Arabidopsis thaliana: one gene and its partner. The protein of the gene in region 1 binds, or shares a complex with, the protein of each later gene. Each region holds a gene or a part of one and is shown on either strand. Other genes may lie near its edges.

Region 1 (6,834 bases):
AGCAGTTACAGATCCACTAGCAGTATACGAGAAATGGATCTGATTTCGCCGGAAGCAGTTTCTGATCTAAGATCGATTGTTCAACGAATGGTCGCCGCCGGTTACTCTCGTGAATGTATCCAAGTCTATGGAACTGTTCGCAAATCAGCCATGGAAGCAATATTTAAGCAGCTTGGGATTGTGAAGATAAGCATTGGTGATGTTCAAAGGCTTGAGTGGGAAGTTGTTGAAGGAAAGATCAGGAAATGGATTCGTGCTGCTAAAGTTTGCATTAGAGTTGTTTTCTCTAGTGAGAAGAGACTATGTGAGCAGCTCTTTGATGGTATTTGCACTGCCATGGATGAGACTTGTTTCATGGAGACAGTGAAGGCTTCTGCTCTGAGACTTTTCACTTTCCCTGAAGCTATAAGTATCAGTAGAAGATCACCTGAGAAGCTGTTCAAGATTCTTGATTTACATGATGCTTTAACGGATATGTTGCCGGATATTGAAGCAATCTTTGACTCAGATTCATCAGATGCTATTAGAGCTCAGGCTGTTGAGATTCAATCGAGGTTAGCGGAAGCAGCGAGAGGTATACTTTCGGAGTTTGAGAATGCGGTTCTTCGCGAACCTTCGATAGTTCCTGTCCCTGGAGGAACGATTCATCCATTGACAAGGTATGTGATGAACTACATTGTTATGATCTCTGATTATAAGCAAACGTTGGATGATCTCATCATGTCGAATCCCTCTACTGGTTCTGATCCAAACACACCGGATATGGATTTCACGGAGTTGGATAGTAAATCTCCGTTGGATTTGCATTTGATATGGTTGATTGTGGTCTTGCATTTCAACTTAGAAGAGAAATCCAAGCACTATAGAGACACATCTCTAGCTCACATATTCATCATGAACAACATCCATTACATTGTTCAGAAAGTGAAAAGGTCACCAGAACTACGAGAGATGATTGGAGACCATTATTTAAGGAAACTCACTGGGATATTTAGACATGCTGCCACAAACTACCAGAGAGCTACATGGGTCAGAGTACTGAATAGTTTGAGAGATGAAGGATTACATGTGAGTGGGAGTTTCTCCTCAGGTGTATCAAGAAGTGCATTAAGAGAGAGGTTTAAGGCATTCAATACAATGTTCGAAGAGGTTCACAGGACTCAGTCCACATGGTCGGTTCCAGATGCTCAGCTTAGAGAAGAACTCCGAATATCGCTATCCGAGCATCTAATCCCTGCTTATAGATCGTTTCTTGGAAGGTTCAGGGGTCATATAGAGAGTGGAAGACACCCTGAGAACTATTTGAAATATTCGGTTGAAGATATCGAGACCATCGTTCTAGATTTCTTCGAAGGATATACCACACCACCACACTTGAGGAGGCGATAAAAGAAGATCGAAAACCCGAGAGTTCTATCTTCTTTCTTTCGTTTTTCAGTCACATTAGGATGTCATAGAAATAGAACCATTCTTTGAATTTTTATTCACGGGTTTCCTGCCCGGTGGAATAATCTCCAGGTGAACATATTTGTGTGTTGTTGTTTGTGCCATATGTCTTCTATTTATAAAAGTCCTGATTGATCACAGAACCAATAAGTACCATGTAAATTTTGCAATGTGCGACGTCCTCTACTCATTTGCTCCATTTTTGTTCCGTTTGGTAGTAGCCATAGGCAAGCTCCTTGTTTAAAAGTTCCAAAATAGAGAAAGAAATTGCTTAACATTTTTTTCTTAAAAAGGTAAATAGATCCAAAGACAAAAGTACACAGATTTATTGTCATATTCATCCAAAATGAAACACAAGAATTGCGTCGATCCCCTAAGTCAACACACCAAAAAGGCTCATCATAAAACTTGCGAGCCAAAGCAGAGCATCAAGCCAATAATGAATGGGGATACAATCTGGTTTAATCAAAGTCAAGAAACTCCATTCTCTTCCTCATTGTTCCTCTCAGCTCACTCGCTTCCCTCTCCACCTTTTGTGCCTGCATCAACAGACAGATTCCCGAAAACCAAATCATCAGCACGCACACAGCATCACAAATGAATCAAATTTGGCTAATCAAAATGAACATGTTATGCGATGTCTTACCCTTTTAATCTCTGCCTCTGAGACGCGAATCATATGTGGAGGAAGCTCTTCTCTCTCCGTGTCCTAATACATAGTTTAAGGTCAAACTCAGTGAATTGGAAAACACGAGGTGACACAGCAAGAAAAGACAAACAAGGAGAAGTCTTACCAGCTCACCAATCAAAACAACATTCTCTCCACGGATTACATAGAGGCCTAAAGGAATGTCACAGTATTGTTCACCAACAATTACCCTCTCACACGCACCTTCTAGAACCGCATTGGCTGTGTATTTACAACGAACAAAAAAAAGTCAAATCTCTCCCGCTCATCAACAATATCGTAAATCTAGAAACATGGAAAGAAAAGTGAATACCGAATTGATCAAAGGAACGGAGTGTTCCCATTAGCTTTCTACCATCTCTAAGAAGCACAAGTAGTTTTCCTGCATCATCAAGAGCAGAGCCAACATACATAAGTAACTGATGCACATTGATTCATATCTAAAAAAGAAAACGGTACGCCAAATGAGATTGAGAACTAACTCATAGCCCAAAAACATCAGCAAAAGAAGATCATTGACTTTTAAACTCAAAGAACCAACATCAAAAAGCCGATAGTGAATTAAATTTCAACAAAGGTTAAAGTTTATACTTCGTAAGTTGAATAAAGAGTGAGCCAGCAACCTCAATCACATCTAATCTCTCACGCATGCTAAAATTTAGCTTGACAACAATAACTGATGAACAGTTAGATTTGACCCAATTAAAAAAAAACTAAAGCTTTGATTCAATAATCAATATCTTAATCAATGAATGTCTCTTTGAGACAATTCAACACCAAAATTGACAAGCTTTGGATACAGCCACAAAATAGTACAGCCTATATATCAATAAGAAGTCAAAATCAAACGTCAAAAAAACAGAGAATTGTTTGCAAAATTGAGCTCCCAAATGCGTACAGAGCCATCACGGCCAATTATTTTAACTACATGCATTCATACGGTTCAACAAATATGTGAAACAGAGAGAAAGAGAGACGGATTTACTATCGAGATAACTAGCGAGTGATGTTGAAAGATAAATTTCTTCAGGACCAGCCCACGACATCGCCACTGACTTTGAAATTGAAGAAAACTTTCGGTCTTTCTATAGAACACTACCGATGATAATAATGTTCGTCAGATTCCAGCTGAAGAGATAAGATTTGGCTATTGAACGCGAACTTTGACAGGAAAAAAAAAAAGTGAAGACGGAAAGAGAAATCTAAATTAGGGTTTTGACCAAAGGGTTTAAATTGATAAAGTGATTAAAAAAGATTGAGACTTTCGACACCTGATCGAAGACGGACACGGGTTCTTCAAAAAAATATAAAACCCAGATCCGATCGAACTTTGGCTGAGAAAATTTGTTTGTGGAAAATTCGAAGAGAAAACTAGCGAGCAAATCCGTCCACTGTCCCTTTTTTATTATTTTCAAGCAATGTCCACGATTTCTTAACTCGATAGATAAGACGTTGTACTTTAATACTTTAAGCACTTTCCAATTTAATGTTAAATTTCCTAATAATTATTGTGACTGAATGTTTCTTAAATAAATGAGACTAATCTTCCAAGCTAATAAAATATCTGTTTCGAATAAATTTTAATTTATGGACCAAAAAAGTCGATTTAACACTATTATTATTTACTGCTTGATTTATGTTAAAACGCTTTTATGGGTAAGTCATCCAATAATATATTCCCACGTAAGCATCAGATCTCGGCGGCGCGAAACTACGCGGCGTTCGCTTAGCACAAAAACGTAGCGCAGTTTATTTAAAGCAAAACAAAAAATTCTGTTTTCACACTTTTGCATTGCAGCATCTTGTAGCTAACAACATCATCGGAGAGAAAGCAGCTTCCCCTTCCCGGAGATATCGTACATAAGCTAAAGCAACCTTAACCTTCCTTCTCCACTGTAAAACCCTCAAATTAAGGTCACGATTTCGTCTTATTTTTCCAGGTTTGATTCACAAAGAACTTCGTGTTTTAACGATGCTATTCTTGGGGTAGGATTTAGGGTTTTGTTTCTATAGTTCACCGATCCTGTTCAATTTTAAGCTAAATCACATTCAATTTTATGATTTGCATCGGTTAAAAGACGCGATAGTTATCAGGAGTAGGGTTTGTTGTGGTATTCGAGAAGTTTCAGGAAAGTGAGAGTTTTCTATTAATGGCTTCTTTTTTTTGTATCCCGAATTCTTTGGGGTTAATTGGTGAAAAGAATGTTCTTTGTACGAAATTATATCCAATTTTCCAGCTTTACATGTTTTTGGAGATTTCTGGAATAAGTCTGAGATACTTAAGAACGCATCTGGAGATTGAAATTGTGGCATCCAATGTAGTTTCAATCGATTTTGTCTTTAAATTTTGTATTCTTATTAGATTGAGTTTCGTCTTGGATTGAGCGAATTTGTTTCATTGATGATTTTAGGGATAGATTGATCATGGCAACTGCAACTATGGCAACAGCAGCTGGAGCAGCTGCTCTTTTATATTACACGTTGAATCGGAAATTAATAGCTGGTCCATCTGACGTTGACGATGAGAATTCTGAAGCTTCTGCTTCTCGTCCTTCTTTGAGGATTGACCGTGTTTCGCATAGGCTTATTCAAGCTCCGGCAACTTGGTTGGAGACTATTTCTACTCTTTCTGAGACTCTTCGTTTTACTTACTCTGAGACTCTTGGGAAGTGGCCTATTGGTGATCTTGCGTTTGGGATCAATTTTCTCATCAAGAGGCAGGTATAACATCTCTTCATCGTTTTAACGGTCTTAAGTTCTGGATTTTTTTCTAATTATCTTGTGGTCAAAATTGAACTTTTTGTAATTGTGTACCTAAAACCGTAGGGACTTCTACATGTTGATCGTGTCTTTGGTGGTAAAGATAGTGTAGAACTTAGAGGATCAGAAGTAGCCACTGAACTCAAATATCTTTTGCACTTGTTGACATTGTGTTGGCATTTTTCCAAGAAGTCGTTTCCGTTTTTCTTAGAAGAGACCGGCTTTACAAAGGAAAATGTCCTTATTCATGAACCCAAAGCTGGGGTAAACTTTAACAACTCTCAACTCTTAGGCACTTTTTCAACATAGAAATTGAGAAGTTTAGTTTTGAATTTTGCACCATGTAGATATTGAAGCCAGCTTTTACGGTTCTTGTCGATCACAATACAAAATATTTTCTGTTATTGATTCGTGGAACGCATAGCATCAAAGATACCTTGACTGCTGCAACTGGAGCAATCGTACCGTTCCATCATACTGTTGTAAATGAAAGAGGGGTCAGCAATTTGGTCTTAGGTTATGCTCATTGTGGTATGGTTGCTGCTGCCCGGTGTATAGCTAAACTTGCCACCCCTTGTCTTCTCAAGGGTCTTGAGCAATATCCAGATTACAAAATCAAGGTACTTTTGTAGCCCGTTCTCTAATCTTTATTTCAACTTTTCCTAAAACCCATTGTGTGAGAAACCAAAGATTGTCTCTAGCCCTATACATTGTAATTCTCCTGCATTTTGTTGGCAGATCGTAGGGCACTCTTTGGGTGGTGGAACGGCTGCACTTTTAACATATATTATGCGGGAGCAGAAAATGCTCTCTACAGCTACATGTGTTACATTTGCGCCAGGTTTTTCATACAATCTAGTTTTCAATTATATATGTTTATATCTTCTTAAGATACAAGACTTAGTGCTTGTTCCTACCTATTTTCTTCAGCTGCTTGTATGACTTGGGAATTAGCCGACTCTGGGAATGACTTCATCGTATCTGTCATAAACGGAGCTGATCTGGTGCCTACATTTTCTGCTGCAGCTGTAGATGACTTACGTGCTGAGGTTAGCTTCCTAGACCCAAATTCTATGCTTCATTTATATACTTGGGAAAACGTCTGTTGTGTTTTCTTGAGATAAACTATTTATTCTTCCCTTCCACCTTTTCATCAGGTAACAGCATCTGCTTGGCTAAATGATCTGAGAAATCAAATCGAACACACCCGAATCCTCAGCACTGTTTATCGCTCAGCGACGGCTTTAGGATCACGACTTCCATCGATGGCCACTGCCAAAGCAAAAGTTGCTGGCGCTGGTGCAATGTTACGCCCGGTTTCTAGTGGCACACAGGTAAGAATAAAATATAAGAAATATCCTTATAAACTTAATATAGAACTTGAGACTCTAAAATTTTGTGAATAAAACAAAACTTTTGCAGGTTGTGATGAGAAGAGCTCAAAGCATGCTGACCCGTCCTGCACTAAGCATATCTTCTTGGTCATGTATGGGACCCCGGCGCAGAGCCTCTGCTACTCAGTCAATCTCGGAACATCAGTTAGATACTTCTGAAGCAATGTCCCAAGATATACCCGAAACTTCGGATCCTCTTCTTGTTACGGATGAAGAAATCACCGGGAAATGGAAATCAGAAGCCGAGTGTTCTAATTACGAGGAAACATCACCTCGTCTTGGAGCCACTGATCTTGACGAGTGTGAGGATCCAGCGGAAATGGACACACGGGAAGAGCGGATGACTGAAGCTGAGCTATGGCAGCAACTGGAGCATGACCTTTACCACGATTCTTCGGAGCAACCTGAAGAAACCGATGTGGCAAAAGAAATAAAAGAAGAAGAAGAAGCCGTCATTGCAGAGGCCGGTGTGGCCCCGCCGGAGAGCCAGACGGCCGAGATGAAAGAATCCCGCAGATTCCTCCCAGCGGGTAAAATCATGCATAT
Region 2 (6,894 bases), on another chromosome or scaffold:
TAGTTGGACCAATTGTCAACACAGGACAAGCTTTCGACCACAATTCATTCTCCTGTAAACAAAAAAAGAGCAGTTAGTACATGCACAAGAACAAGAGATGGTTTAAGAATTGTAAGAAAGAGATAGAGAGAGATCTAACATGCAGTTCCAACTCTTGGAAGCTATTAACGAGAACGAAATCAGCTTTTTCGAAATTTATGAACTGTTGAAGCACCATCTCAAAGTAAGCAGGATAAGAGCCAGAAACAGAGAAGAAAGAAGGCAAATCTTGGAGCTCAAGAAAAGGCAATTCCTCAATGGGAAGTTGCAAGCTTCCATTGTTTATGTAAGAAAGATAATAAACATAGTTAACAGCACAAGGCTGCGTAAAGAAAGGAGTCGCAACTAAACCAAACTCTCTAGCAACGTCAAGTGCCCAAGGCAGGAAAGCATCATAGACGATACAAGTGATGGGGTTATCACTAGTCTGGTGTTTTTGGATGATGTCTGCAATGGTTTTCGAGCCGGAAGTTTTAAAGTCTTTGAGGTAGTCGTCGATGGAGTCAGCTGTCTCGAAACCCCCATGGTCATAGCCATCGGAGATGGTGGCTATGGAGATTGGACCGGATAGGTCAGGATTGATGGAGTTGAAGACGAAAGTGGTGAGAGCGAGAGTGGTTTTGAGACCTTTGAAGTGAAGTCGTTTGCAGAATTGGCGGAATGGTGTGATGTGTCCTTGCGTTGGGTACGGCACTGCTAATACATGTCCTCTCTTATGCTCCATCTCTCTCACTTCTCCCCCTTTCTCTCTTAAAATCTTTTGCTTTAACCAAAATGAATATGTCTCAAGAGATGTTGATGAGAATATATGTAGATATAGGTTTTGTCGGTTTCTTGCTTAGATAAGAGTTTTGCGATAAGAAGAAATGATAGTTTTTTTGTTTTACTCTTCTTCTTTTTATTATAAAAAAAAAATGGGAATAAGAAAACAAAACCAATTTGCATGTCTTTGACAAGGAAAGAAAATGTGTTAATAAATACAAGTTGAACTTCTTCTTTGTATTAATTTTGGCTTCATTATTTTGTCTACCATGTGCTTTTCTGTTCTGTATACTTTTTTTAAAAACACAACCATGATATGTACTATTTTGAAATAAGTTGTTAAGTAAACATACAAACGATGAATATAAACGGATGGAGAAACCATGTCTGTGTTCAGCGTTGGTTTTTTTTTGTTTTTATTACATTTTTGGTAAAAAATTGATGAAAAGAATATCGATGTCAAGATGTAAATACAAACACACACAAAATCGAAGCTTTTATTGTTATTATTTGGAGAAGTAAAAGAGATGGAAAAAAAATAAGAGAGAGCCGAAATGGAGAATGTACTAATTACTAAAGACGTGAAAAGGTTCTGTACGGCTCTATAATAGTCGACAATAAGAAAAAGGACCTTGTCTATTTGATGTATTCTTCAAGTATATCTGACATTTCCTTATTTCCTATCTATGATGTATGATTATATATTGTAACTTTCACTAAATCCAGTTTCATATTTTCTTATCACACAATCTCAGATGTCAACAATAGTTGTAACATCTCTAGTGGATCAATATTGAACCAAAGCAACCTTTATAACGACAAGTGTCTAGCCTGGACATGTGCACTGGAATCGAGCAACATTAAAAACAAATGTTTACTACTATAAACAATCGGTTTCTTAAGTCAAACAAAAAAAAAACGAAAGAAGAATCAAATACGATAGAATAGAACAAAATAAGCTATATTATTGTTATTCGATCAAATCATAAATACATTAATGATTGAAATAAGGAGTTTTTAAACCTTTGCTGTCGAAGAATAATTAAGAATATTACGAGAAAAGAAAAAAAAAATACATTAATGATTGTTAAGATGACATCAGATTGTGACGCAGTGATTGCGTCATCAAAACACGATAATTAGGCTCCAAAGACCAACAGTGATTAAAAAAAATTTCATAACAAATAAAAATCTAGCTATATCTCAGAATTTTGGAGATGATTTAGACACAAACTGAGTTGCGGAAGAAAAAGACATGTCGAATTCATGCAGTGGTGATAAACTCTGGTTGCTACAAATCCTACATTTGTCATATGCCAGAGGTAGAGAAGAAGATGAACATTCATGGTGATGAAAGAGAGCTATGCTCCATCTGACAATGTCCCCTTTGTTGTGCTGATGTAAAGAACTGTGGCCAACATAGAGCATATTTTTCAGAATTGGATATAAAAAAACATACTAAACCGATTTAAAGAGTGATGATGAATGTGATTTGGTTTTTACCATTGTTGCCACGGACAAAAGCGTCGCCATATGTGTTCTTCAGCTGGCCATTTACATACTCTTCGGTTTGCTCCATTGCGATGTTCATATATCCATCAAGACAAGTAAGAATGCCTGCAAACAAGAAGAGAGACAAAGTGTCATATGTAGATTGATACAACATGATATGCCAAAGAAAGAATAAGTCTGACTTTTGTAGATAAACCAAAGAAAGATATTCAAGCTAGAAGTTCTCCTAGTCCTGTAAGTTATATTATAGAGTTCAAGAGACCAAGGTCTTAATTTCAGGTGATAAAGGCTCCATAGCAAGGTGAGAGTCCATATTCTATCAGAAGCAAGAGTAAATGCATCTCAAATTCAACCACATTTGGGTCTGTTATCTCATGAGAGAAGCTCTCTCAATTCACAAAGCTATCATCTGAATCTAATATTCCTCTCAAATTCCAAAAAGCATATGTTTCAAAGCCGTATGTTAATTTCCTGCTCATCTAGATTATATTTCTCAAAATCCAAAGCAAATATCTCAAGCCGAAATGTATTATTCCTTCTCAAACACAGAGACAAGATAGGGAAAAAACAAGCAAGCTCAACAAAAATGAATCTTCAGAGATGGGACTTTCAAATCAAATGAGAATCAAGCAAGCAGTTCTTAGACAAAGAAAAGAGTCATTCTGTAAACCAACATCCAAAGGTTCCAGTAACATGGCGAGAAAGAAAGGCATTGAGACATCTAAACCCAAAGTGATAAAGAAGTTTACATAGACTTCCGATAGCTTAATAACCACCGAAAATCAGAAGCAAACTATAAGATATCATCACACAAGGCAAAAAAAAAAAGAATTTGAACTGGATACATCTTAGAGGAGAACACAAAATGCAGAAAGAGAGAGAGACAGACCTCGATAATCAACACCAGAGTTGAGCTTGACAACAACTGGTTTACCACGGATAGATTTCAAGAAATCAGCAGGTGTCTTAGTTGTTCCAGAAGCTTTCTCTCCAACTCCACTCATCTTCTTTGCTAAGAAACCACAATATCTGCCCACCAAATTAGATCCAAATCAAACAAGACCCCTCAGAATATCCCACAAAGCCAACAACTTTAAGCAACAAATTCATGTCAGCAATTCGAGATCCATAAATCAATCAAATTACATAAAGACCTTGAGAAAAGGAATCATCTTGAATACCAAACTCGTAGCATCTCAACGATTACTCCCGAATCAAACAAAACTATGTGCCCTAAAACCCTAAACCTCAGACCAATTAGGAAATGCGCGAATGACTTGGATTAAGTAAAAAGAGAAACTTTGAAATGGATTGCAGAAACAGATGAGTCTGGGAAATCTAAGAACAACGAACCTCGAGTCCACGAACAAACGGTAATTGGCTAGAGACTTCCGCTCGATGAAGCAGCCGAACAGAGCGAAGAAGACATGTGACGCATTTACAAATAAGTAAAAATAAAATTACAATTAAAAAGGCCCAAGCCCAAATTCGAATCAGCCCACATGGAAAACAATCCGAAGTCCAAGTTTTTTTATTGTGGTTTAATTATGTGCGAGATTAAAACTTTTTAGTCAATTTTAAAATTTTAATCGTGAAAATGGTGAATTTTCAAAATTCGTTGGGAGAAGAACTTTGCAAAGATGTTTGACATCAGCAATTTGGAAATGCCTAATGTGAACCAAACAAAAGAATAATTTCAGTTTCTTTTTTTACATTTTGTAAATAGTATAGCTTGCAATAATTTAACTTTTCACAAGACTTTAGTTCTTCTATCGTTTTAGGTTTAGATCAATAAATACATCTACACGTGACATAAATAATTCAACAGAGGACTGGAACACGTACAGAGCCCGATGATAGCAACTTGCAACAATCTGCCAAAATCTATTTAAATTCGCCTATCAATAAAAATATAAATATGTATAACACATATATTACTTGAGTACGTAGCAAATGAAACCAAAACATTAGCATACACCGAACCAAACCCGAGCCAACAGTTTTCACTTAGAACGAGCCATCGTCGTCGTCTAGAGAACCCGATGGACTTAGCCGTGAGTTGTTATTGATAACCACCGGAAACAGAGGCGTGGCGGTCTGGTTCGATGGCGAATGTAGTGGCATGGATCCATACACCGTTCTCTCGTTTACGCGTCCAACTTCTTTACACACTTGATCAAGAATCGTCAGAAAGTCTCTGACCACAGCGAAAATGCGAAAAGGATGAGTTTCCGAGTTCCCGTGGAAATACTCTGTTACTTCTTTAACCATCTTCATGACATTGTCTCCATGAGATTGTAACTCTGTGATCTCTTTCTCACCTTTGTTCAAGAACGAGTTCATTGACTCCAAGAATCTCTCTACACCTGTTTCTTGCTTTAGCTCCGTGATTACTTCCTTGACTTTCGCTATTCCTCTGGCGATTTCCGCTGTTTCGTTGATGAGGGAATTTGAATCCATTGCCGCTGCTTTCTTGACGTTAATCAGCTGAGAGCTGAGACCTGAAACGACTTGCAACCCGAGTTTCTTGAGCTCTAGGTCATCTTGGAATGCGGATTGCTCGGCCATGTTATCGCCTATATGGCTTTGACTCGGAGTAAAAGGAACCCGAGCTCCTTCAAATTTTATGATCTCTTGAACCACAAAATGCAATAAGGTGGTTTTCCCATCCGCGCCTTTGATATCTACCAGTTTTAAGAGCGTGTCGAGCTTGAAAGCATGTGCGTCCCCTCTATTGGTTCCTATATTCATCCGGTTCCCAGTCTTGAGCACGGCTTCTAAAAGCTTCAAGAACATCCGCGTGTTCTTTAACTCACCAGTAGCAGCCTGAGAGTTTGATCAAATGCATATGAATGATCTGTTTGATCAGCAGACATACACTTATGAGGTGGACAAGTAGAGTTTTACCTCGAGAGTGTCGAAGGATCTGTTAAGGTACTCGATTTCTGATTCGAACTTGACAATGTAAAGCATTGCATCAATCCTCTTGAAGGCGAAAGGAATGTTCAACAATGCTTTGAGGAATTTCTCTGCAGGTCCTATCTTGGAAGGAGATCCATCATCATCATCTTTAAGCTCCTTAAGCTTGTCCTCTTCTTCTTTAGTAGGAGCCATCTTAAGCAAGCATTCGAGAAGCTCGGGTCCAAGCGTATCCGAGTTACCTGATTCATGAACAAGAAAGTGATTAGACATCAACTAAGTCAAACAAGTCAAGCTTCAATAATCACAGACCAATTTGAGGAATCATCAAACCAATGCAATGTTGCAGTAAGTGCGAGTAACCTAAGCAACAACAGATTGGAAATTACTCACCTTCTATAAGAGCTTCACATACTTCATCAGCAGTTACATTAAGAGCTCTCAACAAAATAGCAATGTTGTGTGACTTTCTTGGATCAAGAAACCGATTCTCCTGACTCACGGATTGAACAACGCCATCTCTTGTTCTCGAAGTTGGATCATTCACCTTGAACAATGTCTCTATCATTTCTTCATTCACTCTGCAAAAACACAAAAGAATCATATCTTAGTCGTGTATGCAAAAGGATAGATCAAGTCTTTAATTCAGATTCGTTATGTCTTACTGAAAGGAGTTTGATTTGATTTGGTCCCACACCATAACACGGCTCGAGCTTGCTCTAACTTTATCCCAATGTAAAGTCTTCAACTTTGGTTTCATGGTCTCCACTTTCTTCTCTGGGTCAGAATCATCACCAGGAAGGGAATGCGACATAGTAGCCGGAACCTCCGAGACCTGTGGCGGCGGAGGAGGTGGTGGAGGTGGCCTCGCTGGACAAAGCCGCTTCGGAATGCCGTTGTTTGAGCTTATCTGACTGTGCAGCGAGACAGGAGGACTAATTGACTTAGGTTTCAAACTTGTTCCCGGAGAAGCATTCAACGACGGCGCAAAATTAGTCGGCGAACACGAGTTCGAGCCTGAGCCGTTGATACTCCTGTTGTCAATCTGATCAACATCAGAGACACGGGTCGGGCTCTGTTTACGCCCTGAAGATCCTCTCGGAGAGAAAAACTCATCGTTTTCGTTATCGTCTCCGTCAAAGTCTTGTCTTTTAGGGTTTAACTGTTCAGTGCTTTTGTAAACGGGAGTGAAAGATTGGAGCTTTGGTAAAGGGGGAAGAGGACGAAGCTCTGGCGAGCCTAGCTTATGGTACTGTGAGTAAGAAGAAGAAGAAGACGACGAAGCTGGAGGAGGTAATTCCAATACGCCGGTGATACCGCCAGAGAGGGAGATTGGAGACTTTTGCTGCTCTAAACCATTGCTTCGAGAGTTTACTAAAGTACCTAAGTAGAGAAACTCAGAGGAAGTGTGTGAGGAAGTGTACTTTGGTGGTTGTTGATGTTGTTTCTGTTTCTTAGAGCCGTCGGAAGGAGAGGCGTTGAAGAGCTGAAGAGCGTCTGATCTCGTGGATTTGGTGTCGTCTGCAGGGGAGGAGCGGCGGCGGTGGCGAGTTCGGCGGATGAAGATGATGAAGACGGCGAATAGAGAGAGGAGAGCAGCGGCGGAGATGACGGAGGCGGTTATGGTGACGAGCCTAGCGATGTGGCCGTTGCTGGGAGGCT

The links.
Region 2: LSM1B (region 1) and LSM6B share a complex: the UniProt entries of both Arabidopsis thaliana proteins name them as parts of the heptameric LSM1-LSM7 complex.

Annotation. Positions count from the first base shown.
Region 1 is NC_003074.8:4,664,063-4,670,896, reverse strand, and holds LSM1B (Small nuclear ribonucleoprotein family protein), read right to left. Parts: upstream 3,590-6,834; 5' UTR 3,406-3,589; exon of another isoform or gene 3,296-3,405; 5' UTR 3,181-3,295; coding exon 3,120-3,180; intron 2,568-3,119; exon of another isoform or gene 2,548-2,567; coding exon of another isoform or gene 2,517-2,547; coding exon 2,448-2,516; intron 2,357-2,447; coding exon 2,241-2,356; intron 2,156-2,240; coding exon 2,093-2,155; intron 1,986-2,092; coding exon 1,908-1,985; 3' UTR 1,703-1,907; downstream 1-1,702. Other genes in the region: EXO70D3 (exocyst subunit exo70 family protein D3), read left to right, coding at 1-1,389; AT3G14075 (Mono-/di-acylglycerol lipase, N-terminal;Lipase, class 3), read left to right, coding at 4,559-4,855, 4,961-5,158, 5,242-5,514, 5,633-5,735, 5,825-5,943, 6,052-6,228, 6,317-6,834. UniProt on the Arabidopsis thaliana protein: Component of the cytoplasmic LSM1-LSM7 complex which is involved in mRNA degradation by promoting decapping and leading to accurate 5'-3' mRNA decay.
Region 2 is NC_003071.7:18,146,148-18,153,041, reverse strand, and holds LSM6B (Small nuclear ribonucleoprotein family protein), read right to left. Parts: upstream 3,846-6,894; 5' UTR 3,667-3,845; exon of another isoform or gene 3,468-3,666; intron 3,343-3,467; 5' UTR 3,318-3,342; coding exon 3,203-3,317; intron 2,419-3,202; coding exon 2,305-2,418; intron 2,210-2,304; coding exon 2,163-2,209; 3' UTR 1,747-2,162; downstream 1-1,746. Other genes in the region: UGT74F2 (UDP-glucosyltransferase 74F2), read right to left, coding at 1-52, 140-763; AT2G43800 (Actin-binding FH2 (formin homology 2) family protein), read right to left, coding at 4,321-5,139, 5,221-5,474, 5,626-5,813, 5,898-6,894. UniProt on the Arabidopsis thaliana protein: Component of LSM protein complexes, which are involved in RNA processing. Component of the cytoplasmic LSM1-LSM7 complex which is involved in mRNA degradation by promoting decapping and leading to accurate 5'-3' mRNA decay.